Caenorhabditis elegans: one gene and its partner. The protein of the gene in region 2 purifies or fractionates together with the protein of the main gene of each other region. This does not show direct contact. Each region holds a gene or a part of one and is shown on either strand. Other genes may lie near its edges.

Region 1 (3,754 bases), on a different chromosome or scaffold from region 2:
TTTTCGGTTTTTGGATGATATGGTTAATCTAAAACACCATTGGTGTCTCTTTTTTCGAGTTTCTAGAGTTATTTCCAAGTTCAAAATCAGTATTTGCTGATTAATCCTAATAATAAAATATTTCAGCAAGACTGGATTCTAATGGGAGTGCTCGATTCATTGAATGTGTTGGAACAAACTGTTGGACTCGACAAATATCCCGAATACAACTCAATGATCATATTTGAAACGTGGAAGGATAATGGAAAATATTTTGTGAAAGTTTTCTATAAAAAAGAAGAGATCACTGCCGAGGATCATGAGCTAATAGATGTCACCAAATTTGTGAGAAACTGTAAAAGAGAACGATGTTTGGCACAGGTTTGTTTTGAACTTTTGTTTTCTCATTCATACATTAAAAATGTATTTCAGGATTTCCTCGACTGCTGCGATGATTATCGAAACAAAGGTGAAGCTGAGAGTTGTGAAGCATCTGATTTAAAGATTCGAACCACGAGAAGCTCTCCACCTAATAATATTAGAAGAGATCTTCATGTATCGGAATTCTCTGGTCCAGAATAATCAATTAGTTGATACTGTTTCTTTCTGTAAATACATGCGAATGAAGTGAATCGATTGATATTTATATTCCATTTAAATGAAGGTTCCGCGTGAAATACTCAAGTATAAATTGTGGTTTCGATGGAAAAAGGACCTAGCTTTGCATATTGAACTTCCGTAGCCTAACAACCAAAAAAGTTTCTCTTCGTTTTTTTTTTCGTCCGATTAATTCGTCATCTCCACTTAACCGACTATACGACGAATGGGCATCGGTCTATTCGTCGAGATCCTCCTTCTCTTGATGCCGTAAGTTTTCTCTGTCGGACTGCAGAAGACAAAACAAGTCTCTTCACCTTCCTGAGCGCATTGTTCTCTTCTATTTCTCGTCCTCTCTCCTTTTATGCCTAGTTTACCGATCGGCCTGTTCTGTTCGATAATATTATCTCAAAAATATTGTTTCGGGTGGACGGAGGGCGTTTTGTTTTTAACAATATAGCCACGTGGCCCGGTTGTAATTTCTCGGCAAATCATTAGTTTTTCTAGCGTATTTTTTCCTACCTAAATTTGTGAGAATTAGCATCAAAAATGGACATTATTTATTTTGAAAAGTTTAATTATTATTCCCCAAATGCGAAATTTTGTGCTAAGAATACGGTATTCAAATCAATCAATAAAAGTCCGCAAAAACACACATTCGAAACTACAGTACTGTTTAAAGGGGCATGCCCTTTTGCATTTAACAAAAACTGTCGTGCCGAGACCGGGTACTGTAGTTTTGACGCAAAAATTACGAAATTTTTTTGTTCTCAGTTTTCAAGTTCAGGCAAAGTTAGTTGAATTCTCAAAAAATAATATTTAATTACAGAGGCATAGTATTTTCATTAAATAAGATGACGTGTCAGGTTTTCTGACAATAGTTTGCGCGTTGTTTAGTGCGCATTGTGTGCAAACACCACTGGTCCGCAAGTTTCCGTGCCCAGGTTCCAACGGATTTCTATTTGTTTTCCAGGATCCGTTTTCTATTTTTTCAAGTCTTTTTCTCTATCTTCTATATTTTCCGACAAAAAAGAGGGTTTCTGTGTGCACACTTGTCCACTTTTCACCACATTTTTATATACCTAATTGTTGTCGTTTCAATTAAAATTCGACATTTTTCTCAAATGACGTCACTTTCAGAATGTTTTTCTATTTGCACACGTTGAAAATTTATTTTCAGGGTCCTGAACCTGAAATATGTGGAGGTTTCCACTGATACTCGCGTCGGTTTGTTGGCTGACAACAGGTATGTCAGGAATATTCAATTGATTCAAAATAAATTCAAATTTCAGCTCAACAACAAAACGTAGCGAACGATCCAGATAAGAAGTTGGCCAGTTTCGATGCATGCAAAGCAGATATTCATAAACATTGTAGCCGAGTGAGTTTGACATTAAAGCTATTGATAGGCAAATAAAATATTTCAGCCTGATGTAGATCTAACAAGCGACATGTCGATTCTTGAATGCCTTCAAGATGCCGGATTTTCTGAGACAGCGACTCTATCCGAACAGTGTGAGCAACTTGTCTGGGATTTCAAGGTCAAAATAACACAAGACGAGCGTTTCGTATCCGCGGCCAAACAATATTGCGAGGAAGAGTTGAAGGGAAATGCTGCAATGAATCTTTGTACATCTCAAACTCAACCTGGATTTGCTCTCAGTTGTCTCATGGAATTCACAAAAAATGTTACTGAGACTGGAAAATGCCACGCATTTTTAGGTGAGTATTGTAATTTTAAAAACACAAAATTTCATCAAAATACATTTAAATTTCTCTTCGTTTTGAAGCCAGAACAGAGAGACTAGCTTTCTCGGATTTCCGTCTCGTTGGTCCATTCGTAACAAAATGCCGTGCTATTCTCGATAAATTCAAATGCAACGTCCTTACTCCTGATCCAGCACACAAAGGTGTTCGTGTCGCACATACGCAAGGAATGGCTTTGGAATGTATTTTGGATAAAGTTGTGAAAAATGCAAAGACTCAAGCAGATGCATTGCAAATACTTGGAGATGATTGTAAACATGAAGTTCTCCGACTTGCAGAGATGCAGGCTGATGATTTCCATTTAGACAGACCGCTCTTCTTTGCTTGCAGATTAGACAGAGAGGTAAGTTTTTAGGAGTTTGAATTTTATAAATGAGCAAAACATTTTTTCAGAGATACTGTAAAGATGTTCCATCTGGCGAAGGAAAGGTTTTCGAATGTCTCATGATGAATAGAAATGATAAATTCATGGATCCAGAGGTGAGATTTTATCAGAATATTTTAGTTTTTCCGAAAATTCTCATGTGTTTATTTACACAGGTGCAGTTTTTTTTGACTATTGAATTCTTGAAAATGCAAAAATTACAATCCTTAGATTCCGTAATCCATTTATTTATACAACTGGATCGCATATTTTCAAGAAAAAAGAAAAAAAACGACTCAAAATTATACATTAATAAAATTTTCAGTGTGGAAATTTGCTTGCCGAGAGAGCATATCTTATGGGAAGAGATTACCGTATGGCTCATCCACTCACAAAAGCTTGTCAACCAGAATTGACCAGATACAAGTGTGAACCACAGAACCAAATTGAATCAGCCGCTCATTTCCATCTGGCATGGATCCTTTTGTGTCTTGAAAATGGAGCAAATCAACCAGAACACAAGGAAGTTCAACCATCAAAAGAATGTGCTCATGAAATGATTACTCATCGTCAAATGATGATGCAGCACTTCCGAATGGCTCCAGAGCTTGTACTCAACTGTGCACAAGAAATTGATAAATGGTGTAGTCCACGTGGAGATATCGAGGCCGAAGGAAGAACATTGCACTGTTTGATGGAGCATGCTGAATCCAGAAATGAAACATTAAAACTGGGAGCTCAATGTCTTCAAGCTGTTCAACAAGTCGTTAAAGTTGCAGATATCGGAAGAAACTATAAAGTCGACAAAGTTCTGTATGGATCGTGCAGAAGTCTTATTGATGGTCCTTGTGCCCAAGACGCAGTTTCAGAAACTGCTACTTTAACATGCCTCATGAGAAATGTGGATAGTCCTGATATGGTTCCTGAATGTGAAAAACGTCTGCTCGAAGTTCAATATTTCATGGCTAGAGATTGGACAATGGATCCACAATTATATGAAGCTTGTCATCAAGAAGCCGTGAGCAGGTACGTTCATTTAATAATAGC
Region 2 (3,754 bases):
TTCGTTCTGAAATGGAAACAATTATACTTTGGGTTTTTACAAAATATGACAGTGTGGCAGAATAAATAAAAACTTTTACTTTCTCTGAAAATAGTTTTTATTTCAGTTGGAACAATTGAGAAAGTAGTCAAAAAATTGCCCGAAAGTTGAAAATTTCATTTAAAAAATTTAGAAACATTGCCAGATTTTTCGGTAATTTTCAGCTTTCAGACAGATATTGCGCATTTTTAATTAAAATAACAACTACTTTCAACTAAAGCAAATTTTTTAATTTTATGTATCATTAAATTTTAATTTTTAAAAAATATTAGCATAGCATGCTACACTGGCTCATTTTTTAGAATTGCTAGAATTATTGAAGTTTGTTTTTTTTTTGAAAAAATACTTCTGAAAAAAGACCAAATTGAGAATGTCAATTAATTCAAAAATTGTCAACTGTTTGAATATAACTTTAAAATTCTTTCGGAAAGTAACTTTTCTCTACTTCTTATTTCAAAGTTTTAATCACTTACAGATGAATCATGCCTATGTGGTCGAGCGACGGGACCAGCTTCCAGTGTCTGCTCCTCATCAGCTGAATCTTTCTTTTTCTCAGCAACAGGTACACCTGGAGCGGGATTTCCTCTGGCTTCTTCAACTGCTTCATGTAATCCTTCTGCTCCAACTGCAGGAGTCTCTCGATCCTCTTTGGCTGCACCATCAGCTTCATCTTTTGGAGGATCTACCACAGCTGGTTTGTCAACGTTCGCATCTGGATCTTCTTCCCCTTTTCCACCTTCCACTTCTTGTTTTGGTTCAAATTCTGGAGCTGCATTTTCTTTTTCCTCTTCTTTCGCATCTTCTACTTCTTTTGGTGCTTTCTGTGCAAAAGGGGCAATTGTTTCTACAACAACAGTCGTTGCTTCTTGAATCACATCAGTTTTTGCTGGAGGTGTTTCTTCTTTTCCAGTCAGTAATTCTTCTTTCTTCTCGTTTTCAGTTTTCGACTCCTGAAAAATTATAAAAACTGAATGTAACTGAAATTTATAGGGAGGGCTTGCTTTAGATATCTCAAAAACTTCCAAAAATTTTTATCGTGTGTCACAATTTCAAACAAAAAACCAAATTTGCTAAAGTCTTAAGTTTCGCCAACTTTTCCATGACACAACTGTTGGAGGTTAATTTTTTTATTATTATCATTCTTTATTTCATATTTCGGCAATAAGAAACATGGTGATTCAATAACAACTGTATTCCAACAGCCTCGACAAGGAAAAAAACTAATGATTTTAACAAAATGTGGGTTTTTTTTTGAAATTCAAACCCGTCATGAAAATTTAGAAAATGTTTTTTTAATCTCATCATGAAATTCGATCGTTTCGGGCCAGTTTAGTCTATTTAAGAAAAACCCAAAGCATTTTTAAATTGTATTTCTTACAATAATTGTTGCATTTGTAGCAACTGGAATCGGAGCTACTTGATCTGGTGCAATTGTGAGATTTGCTGTTGAACTGAGAAGTGTCAAAGTTGGAGGTGTTGTGCTTTTTTCAGATGATTTTCCTTCTTTTTCATTTTCGTTTTCATCAATTGGAGGTCTCACATCATCCACATCTTCAGGATTTACATCGTCTTCTGGTTTTTCTTGTGCAGCAGCTGATGTTGCCAAGAATAGTAGAACCACGACGAAGAGTCGTAATTTCATGAGAGAAAAGCTGTAAACATGCAATTTTTTGAAAAAAGGTATTAAAAACTAATATCTGAACAAAAAAAATAGTAGAACACGGAGAGACTCCAGAAAAACCTCAATACTAAAATAGCAGCAATTAGGTGTCTCAGAGAACATGAGAGAATAGTTGTGACCGAATGAGGTCAGTTACTCTACGATGAGAAGGCAATAACGGTCGGTAGTACGAACGGAGAACTAGAAAAAAAAACATTGAAAGTTCACGATTATCCATCGTTTTCTTCTCAAAGACATGTGTTTCAAAAATGTTTACATTTGCCTGAAGTGGCATATTGGAAAGAGAAGTGCGCTTTCGCTCGTAAAAATCAATGAAACAGTTGAGTTAATCCGTCGGAAACAGATCATGTTAATCTCGAAAAAAAATTGTTGCAATTGAAAACTACAATTTGGAAAGTATTTGAATTGTGGTTTTGATTTTGATCATAGATAAGTATTCATTCATAAATGTCTACACAGCTCAAATATTTCTAGAATTAATATTGCGAAAAAATTCAATATCAGTGGAGGTTTAGCACATCATGCAATGTCGACAAACAAACAGAAACGTAAAGTAGAGAACGTGGCATGTTTTGATTCCTGGGAAAATGTTGATTCAAACTATTTCGAAACAAATTAAAGTGAGAAAATATATTGCAGAAACTGAATTATTGACATTTTAATTAGACTAAAAGTCAAAAAATGTAAGAAAACCAACTTGTATCAGCAAAAAACCACTGAAAACCAATAAAAATGTAAAAATGACAAATTGTCGTAATATCTGGTGTCGGTTGTGCATTGGTACGCAATCTTGTGTACTCCTCGCGGACAAGTTTTCTGTTAATTTTTTTTGTTGGTTTTTTTCTATTTGTCCCGCTTTTATTTGTACTGAAATCTTTAAACCGATATAATTTTTTAATTCACTTTAGTAACAATAATAGTGTCGATATCACCGAATAGGTAAGGCAATGGTACAATAAAAACCATGCAAATTTAAGGCTTAAATTACAAAAAATGAGTTGAGAGTTATTATTTTGAATTATTAATTTCAGCCGTTTGTTTCCATTCGATATCTAATAATAGACGTTGGTGAACAAGTTTAAAATGTCTTTTCCTTTCTTCGATTCAGCAGTCTCGGCTAGAGCCTTTTCCTTGAGCTTGTCTCTTTGCTTCGCATCTTCCAGATTAATTGTTTCCATAGGGAGTGAGATGTATCCGAGATCAAGGTTACGAATCTGTAAAATTTGAAACTAATTTTTCGTAATTCAATTTTAAAAGTACCTGTGAGACACGAGCTCGAATTTTCTCGCTCTTCCCGTTTTCGATTTTTTCGAGATATTTGGCCGCTCTCTTGTTGCTCCCTCTTCGGTGGAAGAAATTATACATCTAAAAGAATATTTTGATATTTAAATAGTTGTTATAAATATTTTAAATCAGACTCACAAAAATACTGTGATTCCACGAATCCTTTTTCGATCCCCGATTTGAGGACTGTTCGCGTGGTTTTGACGAAGACACTTCTACCCACTGGTCGATCTCTTCTTCTGATGGCATGCATTTCTTTGTGTGTTGTTGGCATTTGGAAAGAAGAAGGAACAATTGATCCTCAGTTAGTGGTTTTTCGTGACATTTCAACAAATTGATCGTCGGAGTCCTTTCAAGTCTTACGTGGAGGGGAACAGAAGGAGCCATTATTAGGAGCGGTCTGAAATTTCTCAATTTACTAAACAATTGAAGAAGGACTAACGTTTTTTGCTTGTATTGACTCAACATGCGTCTAATTCTCAAAAATACAAACCGGAAAGTAGGCAAAATTGAAGATTTCAGCTAAGGTTAGCCTTTTTTCGACATTTTTAAGAATTTTCATTACGAAATTCGTTAATTTGTGCGCATTTTGAGATTATGCAAGCAAAAAATTAAACAAAATACACGCAGGAGAAAAAAAATTGTACAAAATTACTCACGTTTGCGCAATGTCATCGCAATCTAACTCCTCGAAAACAAAAATTCCCGCACTTTTCAAATGGTAGATCACTATTTCTCTAGGAAGATCAA

What was found.
Region 1: the proteins of tgn-38 (region 2) and F14E5.2 fractionate together in Caenorhabditis elegans (co-fractionation; one large-scale study listed by BioGRID). This does not show direct contact.

The regions. Positions count from the first base shown.
Region 1 is NC_003280.10:8,426,858-8,430,611, reverse strand, and holds the start of F14E5.2 (Golgi apparatus protein 1 homolog), read left to right. Parts: upstream 1-1,756; 5' UTR 1,757-1,773; coding exon 1,774-1,822; intron 1,823-1,868; coding exon 1,869-1,957; intron 1,958-2,003; coding exon 2,004-2,298; intron 2,299-2,366; coding exon 2,367-2,686; intron 2,687-2,736; coding exon 2,737-2,823; intron 2,824-3,032; coding exon 3,033-3,733; intron 3,734-3,754. Other genes in the region: acp-2 (ACid Phosphatase family), read left to right, coding at 127-360, 412-561.
Region 2 is NC_003282.8:12,027,484-12,031,237, forward strand, and holds the start of tgn-38 (Trans-Golgi network integral membrane protein 2), read right to left. Parts: upstream 1,692-3,754; 5' UTR 1,682-1,691; coding exon 1,418-1,681; intron 990-1,417; coding exon 513-989; intron 7-512; coding exon 1-6. Other genes in the region: T12G3.11 (uncharacterized protein), read right to left, coding at 2,221-2,289; T12G3.6 (RWD domain-containing protein), read right to left, coding at 2,773-2,934, 2,981-3,085, 3,143-3,404, 3,664-3,754.